3 linked regions of the Medicago truncatula genome follow. The protein of the gene in region 3 interacts with the protein of the main gene of each other region in a pairwise test. Links are inferred from orthologs where the notes say so. Each region holds a gene or a part of one and is shown on either strand. Other genes may lie near its edges.

Region 1 (3,760 bases), on a different chromosome or scaffold from region 3:
CGTAGAGTTGTAAAAGACAGAAAAAGTATTAATATTCCCAAAGATAAAAGCTTGTTCAAAACTTCACATCAACGACACTCGCACACCAATTATTCAGGACCAGGAAAGCAATCTACTTACACTATTACTAGTATCTAAATTAGCATTTGGCGTGGTTATACTCATAAGGTATGGCTCCCATAAGACCGTAATCTGGATAACGTTTTCCATTCTCCCCATCCATTTTTACATATCAAAAAGTAAAGGCAAACGATAGTCTATGATAGGTATCAGATGCAAGAATGTAAAAAGTTGTTAAGGGGAAATACTTACGAAGTGCTTGCAGACATCACATTTCGGATGGTAGCTTTCCTTATAGCATGCTTTATGGAAAGGGTAATTTCCAGACGTGGAAAACTACAAAAGCAAGGAAATATACATGAAATACCAATAAAACCTTGATCAAAAAACAGTTACGAAAACATTAAAATGAGAAATTTGACTTGATCAAAGGAAATTCTTGCACCTCATAATCAGAGATTGGTAGGTTGCAAGCACGACAACGAAAGCATTCAGGATGCCAGAATGCACCCAAGCAGTTTAGATAGCGGCCATAACCAATCTCAGTATTGCAGCCAGCGCATATCCTATTATGTAAATAATTAGATTAGATATCCACAATTGAGTCTGCATTACATATGTTGTTGATATTCTAATCTAACACCAAGCTGAAATAATAGAATAATTTCTCCATCAACTGAACATAAACAGAAAATTGATGGGCAAATGTTTTCTCTCTTTGTTTATGAGCATTGAATGCGATGTACATGATACAAAAGCTATCCCTTCTTTGGTTGCGGAACTTAGTTCATAGTACCCCATGGTTATTTATATATTCATCTCATCATGATCAAGACTCTACAACAACAATAATAACAACCCCACACTTTCTGACTTGGCAACTCAAAAGTCTATACCAACACACGCGCACACACATATAAATAACAACCGTTAATTTTTTTTGTGCAGCACTCTATACTTGGCTAGTGTTTAGTACAAGGTATTTGAAGAGGATAAAAAGAATGAACAGTGTATCTAGACTACATTCTAGTCCAGTTTTTTTAAAGCTACATTCTAGTCCAGTGTACATCACATCAGCCCCTTCCTACCAAAATATCCTTGATGATTCATAAGATCATCAGTCGACAAGTAGTTCAACAAGACCAGCACGAATAAGTGGGAATTGAGATGCACAATGTTATCCTGTAACTCATACCTGTACCCCATCGGGAAATACTGAATTGGTTGATACATATTATCATTTCCATGTTTGGGAGGTGACTCCAAATTTAGACTTTCTTCTATTGCTCTGGCAAGTTGTTCATCTTCTTCTAATTGTGATTTGTGGTCTGTAAGATGGACAGAAAACTTCATAAATACAGAACAGAAACTATTTTTGAGGAAAATATGTATCAATTCCTAAAAAAAAAAAAATATATATATAATGCAATAATCTTTTAGAGCTATCTCACTCACCTTTTACATTTTTCACTTTCTGATTTTCTTCTACCAAAGACAACGCAATCGCACGATCGATATCTTCATTCTCGTTCTCAGTCCAAACATCCTACATTCAAAACCCTATCAAAACACGCGACACAAAATTTTCTAAAACAATAACTTACAACATTTTCCAAAACCAGACAAAAATTTCTAAAGCATTACAAATTGCATTAAAAATTACCCCTGAAGTTGATGGCAAGTAATAACTCGAATCGTCTTTATAGTAATGCCCTTCAGAAACCTTATGATCAGACCCTTTAAAAATTCTACTAAGCCAACCCATGAATAAAAAAAATAGCTATATGTTCAACAAGAACAGCTCCTCCCTGCACAAATAAACATCAACATAAAAAAGTAATCACAATCAAGAATCAAGATATTGCAAAAAAAATCATCCACGGACACAGACACTGACACGCGACAGCGATAGTAATTTGAAAAATTGACATAATTGAATGTAATCGCATGAGTTAGTGCCGGGACAAGATGTCCCTGTCTTACACAAAAAAGACGGGGGTTTAGCAGGTTTATATAAAAATTAAATAAAATTAAATAAGTTTATGAAACAAAAAACTTGAATTATGAACTAACCTCTGTTAAGAAATTGCAGAAGCAGCGAAAAGCGAATTGTAAGAAAATTGAAATAGTTTGGTTTGGTTGTGTGATCTAATTTGGAAGAATGATTCAAAAACGAGTAAGAAAGAAAAGACTCTTTAGATCATTGACAATTGAAGAAAAAGAATAATAATGAAGAATTAATTATAAAAAAAAAAAAAAAAGAATGAATAAATGTGAAGAAGAGGGAAAAGTAGAAGAAGTGCACGCGATTATAAAGTCAAATTAAATTTGAAGAAAAGTAAAACATTTCATCAATTATCATTATTATTTAAAATCCAGATAGGAGGAGGAGATTTGGAATACAAAGGTGTGTCTGTGTGGGGTCCTCCTTGTTCACACACAACACACACCTTCTTCCTTCTTACGAAGGGAGACCCCAAAAGACAAAAAGTTTGTTCTGATACCGAAAACCAGAACAGTTTTCTTTCTTTCTTTCTTTATATTATTTTACTTTTTTTATCTAGAACTCACCTTCAAATTGGGATGTCTGAGGTTCGAACACCGGCTCCTGCATATAACGATGCATGTCTCGGCCAAATGAATTATACTATTTATTTTACTTTTAACTAGCCTAAAGAATGATATGCATTTTTTAACAATAGCACCTAATAAACGTTCAGTTCCTCCAGCATCTCAGACAATTTTTTTAAATGAGACATGTTAATCAACTATCAATAAATATATATTGTTACATCCAAGTTTTTAATATTAAAAATATACGGCTTGTACAAAAAAAATATTAAAAATATACAGAGTTCACTTAAGATTAAAGTCTTAAGTGAGACCTTGAGTCTTATAAACATCTAAAAACAATTCTCTCATAGGGTACCTAATAAGTACTAAGGTCTTCAAATTTAAGATCTCCCTATTAGAGATTGTCTTATACATAGTGGGTTAATCTTTCTCTCGTATTTCCTCCATCCCCTTTTTATAAGACAACTTTACAAAAATCATGAATCTTAAAAATATAAAATTACGAGCAATAAATTTGTCTAAAATATACGTTCCTATTATTAAATTGGACTATTTGTGTATAGCTGTATTTAATATTAATTTTTCATATTATAAGATAATATTATTTTTTTTAGCCAAAAGATTATATTAAACAAAAAGAGATGCATAGAGTGATGGATATTAACCTGACCCAAAATACAACGCTATAAATCAAACTTAGTGATCAATCCTTATCCATTTCAACAAAAAAATTCACAAATTATTGGCTCAATCCAGCGAATCCGTGTACGAGTGTAAAATCAAATTACAAAAAAAAAAAAATGAAAAGTGAACATCTGCACGAACATGTAAGGTTTAATTTCGGCGAATTGATTGATTGCCAACACGGCAACAACTCCATAAACAAAGCAACAAGCATCAAGCTCTTTCGAGCATACAGTACCAATGTGTAAACAGACATGACAACTTGAAACCTATAGATCTCAACAAATATGGATATATCATCGAGTCGATATTATAAGATAATTGATAATACTAACAAGAGTATAATTAAAAACATTAATAAATATTTTTTTTAAATAGTATTTTAATTAAAGCCCGAGGAAGTACCAATTTTAGTAGGACCATAGGTGAACATTGTGACAAC
Region 2 (3,064 bases), on a different chromosome or scaffold from region 3:
TGTTTTATTTTAAGTAGACAATTTCAACAAATTTACAATTAGTGTATTTGTGGTCTAAAATTCAATCCGAAATGAAGATGTAAAGTCATTTGTTTCATTCAAAAATAATTAAATTCACCTAATTAACTTACAATGTTCAATCAAAATTCCCATAGAAGCACAATTGTTTAGTCATTTGATTCACGCAAAAAACCTTACTTTTTTTTGCTGAGGTGAAACAACAAACCTTACATTTAATAAATTTTCTGATAGAAAGTGGAGCCCATGTTGACAATCTAGTGTAGCCAAACATCAATTAAAAATACAACCATTACTACTAGTACTAGTATTCGAAAAGAACAAACCAATCAAAGAACGTTCGTTTGAGAAAAAAAATACCCTAACCTAATTATACTCACAGCGGCGGCAACATTCACATGCTTGTAATCGTAAAATCTCCACAGCCAAATCCAACCGAATACATAGAAACAAATCTGAACTGTACCTTAAAAAAAGTGAACATAAAATATACATATTCTCTACCTAGTGGATAACGTTTGAACTTTGATCAAACAAACAAACTAGAATGAAATCAAATAAAAATGCTACCATAACATATCATAGAGTAATTAACTAAAATTTCAATTCATAATTTAAGATTAATTGCAGAAACAACCATGAGATACTAATAACAAGTTCTCAGTTGCAAAAATTAATAAGGTTCCTTCTTTCAGTTATATTTACAAAGCGTGCTCGTTATCATCATATTCATGAACAAATCTGAGCACCATGTCAGCAACACACTTTGCGTTCTCTCTCTCTTTCTTCGTTAAATATTTTTCACGAGAGTGATTCCGTTCATCAAAATGGGTACTTCAAAAAACGAAAAGAAAAAAAAAAATTAATTTTTTTTTTGCTTATGGGTCTTCAAAATAGATCCAGATCAAGCAACTTCAGGTGGTGGAGGAACATTAAGATCAAGATCCAAGAGTCTCTGACGTGGCACACCTTCATAATCAACAACGGAGGAAGAAGAACCAGAGTCACTCTGCACGGCGGCGCGTCGAAAATCAGCCATGGGACGTTCAAATCCACACATCTCACGACGGCCAACGGTTAGGGCTGTTTCAGCACGTGCGAATGCGTCAAAAAACAAAACAGGACGCGCCACCGGATAGGCCAAGGTAACACCACCGTGGGAGGAGGAGAATGGTGTGAGAGTTAAATCAAGCGGAGGTGGCGACGGTGATTCAAGAGTGCTGCTTTGACTAGGGCTACCGTTGTTGATAATCTCCAACGGCGTTGGAAAATTTGTCTTCGCTTTTGAGCCGCGAAACTCACGTGCCGCTTTGTCGTAAGCACGCGCTGCTTCTTCAGCGGTGTCGAATGTTCCAAGCCAGACACGTGTTTTTTTACCTGGGTCACGGATCTCAGCGGCGTAACGACCCCATGGACGTTTTCTTACACCTCTGTAACGAATCTCTTTCTGGGCTTGAGCCTGGGCTGATGGGTTTGGCCCAGGCCCGGTGGTGGTGTTGGTGATTCTGTTATCTCTTGGAGCCATTGTGAGAAAATTGAAAATTGAAAGTGAGAAGTTTTTTGTTTTTTGGTTTAATGGGAGACAGAATGAACATAAAGAGATTTTTTTTTTTGTGAATTGTGAAACTGAGACAATGTCTGAGGGAAACAAGGGGGAGAATAAGGTGGTTTTATAGGAAAGAATGAGGAGAGAGAAGAAGAAACTACGGCGCGTGCGTGTGTGCGTGACTGCGTGGTGTGAGGAGTTATAAAGCTACGCTCCTTTTAAGCGATTGTTATTTACACAAAACGTGTCTTCTCTAACACGAACCAAACCACTTTTGTTCCAAGCTGCTTGTTTCCCAATCCTCTTTGTCTTTGGTTTAGTTAGTTACTCGAGAGCTTCATTTATTTTTCCTCATTTCCCTATTCATTGTTGTTCTAATCTAGAACCTTTGTTCCCTTCAATTGGACTACACCTAAAAATCACTAGTAGTAAAACATTTTGTAAAAAAAAAAAAAAAGTTGACTAACTTTTGTAATTTCTAATTTCTAATTTCATTCATTTTAGGTTGTGTTCTTTCCTATTTTAAGTTTGCGAAATGATATTTGAACGTAAAGTGTCTTTATTTGGCATTTAAATTACGAAAAGAATATAAGTGATTGATTTTTTGGGAAATTTTTTTTTTCTAACCCTTTTTGCCAAAAAAAATTCAGATATGACCCCCTTTGAAAAAAAAATACCGAAATGACCCACTTTTGAATTTTTTTTTTTTTTTTGTCTTCTAGCGCGTTTCCGCCATCTGAAATAGCGGGACTGGCCGCCGGATCTGACAGCCGTCGCGTCAGGCTGGCGCTGCTTTTTTTTTTTTATTTTTTTTCCGTTCCCGCCGTTTCATCTGGCGGGACTGATTATTTTATTATTTTGTTCGTTTTTTCTATTTTACAATTAAATAATAATGATAAATAATAATAATAATAATGATAAATAATAATAATGATAAATATTTAATAAAAAAACTACTTTCCCCGCGGAAACCAATTACGCCAATGTAAACTATGACCTCCCGTGCTTTGCCATAATCCAAACATGCGAAGACTAAAGAAAGGTCGACCCAATAGTACCCGCATAAGGACTGAAATGGACGAGGAGGTGGTGGAGAGGACTCCAACACCGAGACGGTGTGGGTTGTGTCGGCATACCGGTCATATTAGGAGAAATTGTCCGAGTTTAAATAATCGGTAGTTAATAACGTTATGTATTATGTGTTCAAATAAATTAATATATTTTTATCTATCATTATTATTTGTTGTGTTTTATTTTATGTAAAAAAATGCTATTTGTTCAAAAAAAAAAATGTAAAACAATGCTGCCAAAAAAATAAAAAGAAAAAACGAAAAAAAGATAAATTATGTGCTACGGGAGGTCATAGTTTACATTGGCGTAATTGGTTTCCGCGGAGAAAGTAGTTTTTTTATTAAATATTTATCATTATTATTTAATTGTAAAATAGAAAAAACGAAAAAAATAATAAAATAATCAGTCCCGCCAGATGAAACGGCGGGA
Region 3 (3,760 bases):
ATTACCCCCCCCCATCCCATCTTTCTTTTACTAAATCTTAATCATTGATGCAGTAAACCTCCTGATTCATGTCACACATTTAGTAGAATCAGAATGATCAAAAAGCAATGTAAATTTACATTATTTAACACACTTCACTTCACTTACTAATAGTAGTTCTAGTACATTTTTTTTTTTTATCTATAGTATAGTCTTAGGGTAACACACTGTTTCATTCCTTTTACCGCACGAGCTTTGTTGTGGCCCAGAAAGAGAGATGGAAAAAAAGAAAAGGAAAAGCATAAATGTTGAAAACAAAAATGCCTGTTAGGTAGGAAACTCAACTCAGCTAGTCGTGTAATGGAATCAAATCAAATAGTAGTAAGTCGTTTTCTTTCTTGGATCTCTCTTCAACATAGAATTATACAAAGCAATGTAATTAAAAAGCTAGCTACGTGGTAAAAAAAATTCAAAAAGAAAAAGTGAATTGCACAAACAATGATGATAAGATATCCTGTAGTAGCAGTAGTGAACTGAAATAATTCAAGGAACACATTTTTTTTTTTTGCCAGAGGAAAAGAACAAAAAAAGTAAAGCAGGCAGCCAAATACCCCAATTGTTAATTAAATAGTGACTCTCATCTTCCAAACCCTAAAATACTATCTTGTTTTCTCTTCACTTCTCCTGAATCATTCATTCTCTCTTCCAAAATCTTAATCACACCAAAAAATTAATTTTGGGAATAATAATAATAATAATTAATAAACAATAAAACTCAATTTAGAATAAGATCAAACAAACCTCACGTGTGTGTTAAAATTAAACACATCATCAAATCAAACTACTAGACAAGTAATGTAAGAAGAAGAAGAAGAAGCAGAAGATGATGATCTTGTAGGAGCTGTGATTAATTATCATGTCGATCATCGTGTTCATGGCTACCACTGCGATGATGATGTGATTGTGATCCACTTGGTTGATGGTGTTGTTGATGATGATCGGAAACCGGACGATAAGGACTAAGACCAGCAAGCATACTCAAATGTCCTTCATTCATATTCATATTCATATTGATATTCCCACCACCACCACCACCACCGGAAGAATTACCTAATTGTTGACCTGGTAACAAAGCCATAGGTTGTGGAAAATTCATAAAATGCAAACCACTAGTTGAAACTGCTCCTCTATACAAAGCAGCAGCACTATTATTCACTGACGGAAAAGTCCATATAGGATCACCACCACTCATTATTTGGTTATTAGAATTTGCAACCATCCATATATTTGCCGGAATCTGAGTATGACTTGCTGGAATTGAACCTGCACTTGATTGCATCAGATAACTCCCCATTTGATGTTGTAATGATGATAAATCTTGCTCACTGCCACCACTGCTAGTTCTTCTTTTTCTTCCTCCCATGGATTCTTCTCCACTTGTTTCAGATAAATCTAACGTGGTTGATGAAGAAGGAGCGTTCGCGTTAGCGTTTGAGTTTGTGTTTCCATCTCGAACCTCTTGTTTAGCCTGCAACATATTTGTTAGGTTATTTGATTGGAAATTCAAAAGCATTGAAGTGTTGTTGTTGCTGTTGTTATCTGAAGGAGATAAACCAATTCCAGGAAAAAGAGTTCTTCGTTGTTGAAGTGAGAAATTCGGGTTGAAGTAAGAAGATCTTAGCTGAGATGGAACAGACATGGATGAGCCTGAGCTACGAAGTGAGATATTGAGAGATGTGAAGTTAGCAGGTATAGTTCCAGTACCAGTGGCGGCTATAACAGCTGGTTCAGCTTGTTGAAGAAGCCATTCAATGGTTTCACCATCAGATTTATGGCCAAGTTCGCGTGTAAGCTGAAAAACTCTAGCAGCACAAAGTGCCGGCATTCGGATGCGGCGGCCACGGCCTTCTACTTTGGTATGACGGTCTTTGGTGGAAGTTCTTTTCGGAGGAGGTTTTTTGTTGGCAGGGTCAGAGGTTGTTGGTGTTGATGCTGGGACTAGTTGGTTGGATCGGTTTGAATTTGATGTACTTGGTTCTGTTGGTGAGATTGCTAGGGATGGATATGGAGAAGAAGTTGAACATGATGCTGCTTCTTGGTTATCTTCTTTCTTCTCAAGAAGTTGAAATGGAAAATTTTGTCTTTGTTGTTGTTGGTGTTGGTGGTGGTGTTGATGGTGCTGGTGGTGGTGATGGTGGTGGAGATCATCTCCTCCATCCATGATCGCATGGATAGTAAAAAAAAATAAAAAAAATAAAAGTGAGTTTGATATATGAATATGAGAGAGACTTGTGTTGTTGTGTATGATAAGTGAGGTTATAGTAGTTTAATATGTATGGTGGGTCTTTGTTCTCATTTTGAGGGGGAGATATGGGTGTGTTGTTATATTTGTTACTTTGTTTAGGTAAATGAAGGAATTTGCTTTGGAATTGATGTGGTTAAGTTTAAGAGTAGAGAGAGAGAGAGAGAGATAGTGAGAGATGAGATAAGGAGGAGAAGAGCTTTAAGCAACAAAGATAATGAGTGGGAATTATATGGGTGAGCTTTAAAAAGCATGATTTTTTCCAGAAAAGAAATTGCTTTCTTGAGTTGTGGTGTTCATGAGCTTTTTCATTATAACTGATGAGTGGGATTTATTTATTTTTTATATTTTTAATGAAGATATTTTTAGATTTTAATCATTCTGCTTGTATGGAAAGATGAAGATTTAAGCTGGAAGTAGAAAAAAATCTAATATTTTTTTTGTTTGAATTTAATTTAATTTTGTGTGATGGAAGGAAGAGAGTAGAGTAGTATTGTGTTGTTCCCTTTTGATTATGGTTGGACAGCGTCTTTGGTTCAGACTCCACGTGAGGTGCTCTTTTTATCATTCAATCCATAAAGACAATGGTGGCCAAAGTGGGACCCGATCCCAAGTCAAAAAAAAATAAAATTGAAAGACCTGGAAAGGAAATATTATCAATTGGGTCCCATCTCATTCATGTAATCATTTCATTTTGCCTTTTCTTCTTCACCTTTGCTCTTCAACTTTGCCCCTTTGCTTTTCCTTCTTCTCTCAATACATGGACCTAATTAGAGAGCGTTTACATTTTGTTTTGCTTAGTTTATTTCACATCAACTATACATTCTTCTAATGTAATTACAAACATCTTGGTCCCTAACCAACCATATTTATAGTACTGTATCCCTTCGAGTATCCAAAATTAGATTCCTGTTTATCACTTTAATTTACTCTCTAAGGATGTTTCGTGGTCAATAATTATCAAATACCTATTACAAGTCATTCAAAGTTTTAATTAAATTGCATATTTGCATACATATACATATCCCATTACACGACCAAACCTCTCAATCAATTTCTCCTTTTTTTCAATTTAACAATCAAATCAACCAAATAGCATTTTTCCACTTTTAAGTAAATTTAATACCACTAAGTGTATAAGATATCAAAAGGGTTACGTTTTAAAATTTCAATTGTGGAAAATGACAAGATAATATACATATAAGGTATTTTAGAGGTACTCAAAAATAGATGCTATTGGGAGTTATCTTCTACAGACTTAGGACCACAAAGTAGCACATGGAAATGGATCTAAATCCTTGTAAAGTTTCAGAGAGAACAAGCAGTCACTATGTGTTGTTTATAAGGGAAGTCTATTTCAACATTTTTATTGGTTAGAATTCGATTGAATCCTCATGAGTTTTTTCCTTTACTTGAAGTTGAGGCTGACACTGTTCCTTTTCAGCTCATGTGAGCAAATTAAATTAACTACACAGAAAC

What was found.
Region 1: the proteins of transcription factor TCP15 (region 3) and protein DA1 interact in a two-hybrid assay, tested with the Arabidopsis thaliana proteins (2 studies listed by BioGRID). The link is inferred for Medicago truncatula from reciprocal best matches to the Arabidopsis thaliana genes TCP14 and DA1.
Region 2: the proteins of transcription factor TCP15 (region 3) and ethylene-responsive transcription factor 4 interact in binary tests that used the Arabidopsis thaliana proteins (3 or more experiments, as listed by UniProt). The link is inferred for Medicago truncatula from reciprocal best matches to the Arabidopsis thaliana genes TCP14 and ERF4.

The regions. Positions count from the first base shown.
Region 1 is NC_053042.1:6,673,117-6,676,876, reverse strand, and holds the start of protein DA1, read right to left. Parts: upstream 2,569-3,760; 5' UTR 2,134-2,568; intron 1,869-2,133; 5' UTR 1,826-1,868; coding exon 1,724-1,825; intron 1,607-1,723; coding exon 1,516-1,606; intron 1,389-1,515; coding exon 1,256-1,388; intron 627-1,255; coding exon 506-626; intron 397-505; coding exon 313-396; intron 193-312; coding exon 121-192; intron 1-120. UniProt on the Arabidopsis thaliana protein: Ubiquitin receptor that limits final seed and organ size by restricting the period of cell proliferation. May act maternally to control seed mass. Acts synergistically with DA2 to regulate seed size.
Region 2 is NC_053043.1:38,973,836-38,976,899, forward strand, and holds ethylene-responsive transcription factor 4, read right to left. Parts: upstream 1,669-3,064; 5' UTR 1,544-1,668; coding exon 923-1,543; 3' UTR 572-922; downstream 1-571.
Region 3 is NC_053045.1:52,947,174-52,950,933, forward strand, and holds transcription factor TCP15, read right to left. Parts: upstream 2,639-3,760; 5' UTR 2,201-2,638; coding exon 887-2,200; 3' UTR 479-886; downstream 1-478. UniProt on the Arabidopsis thaliana protein: Transcription factor involved the regulation of plant development. Binds to the Up1 elements (5'-GGCCCAWW-3') in early light-induced proteins (ELIPs, e.g.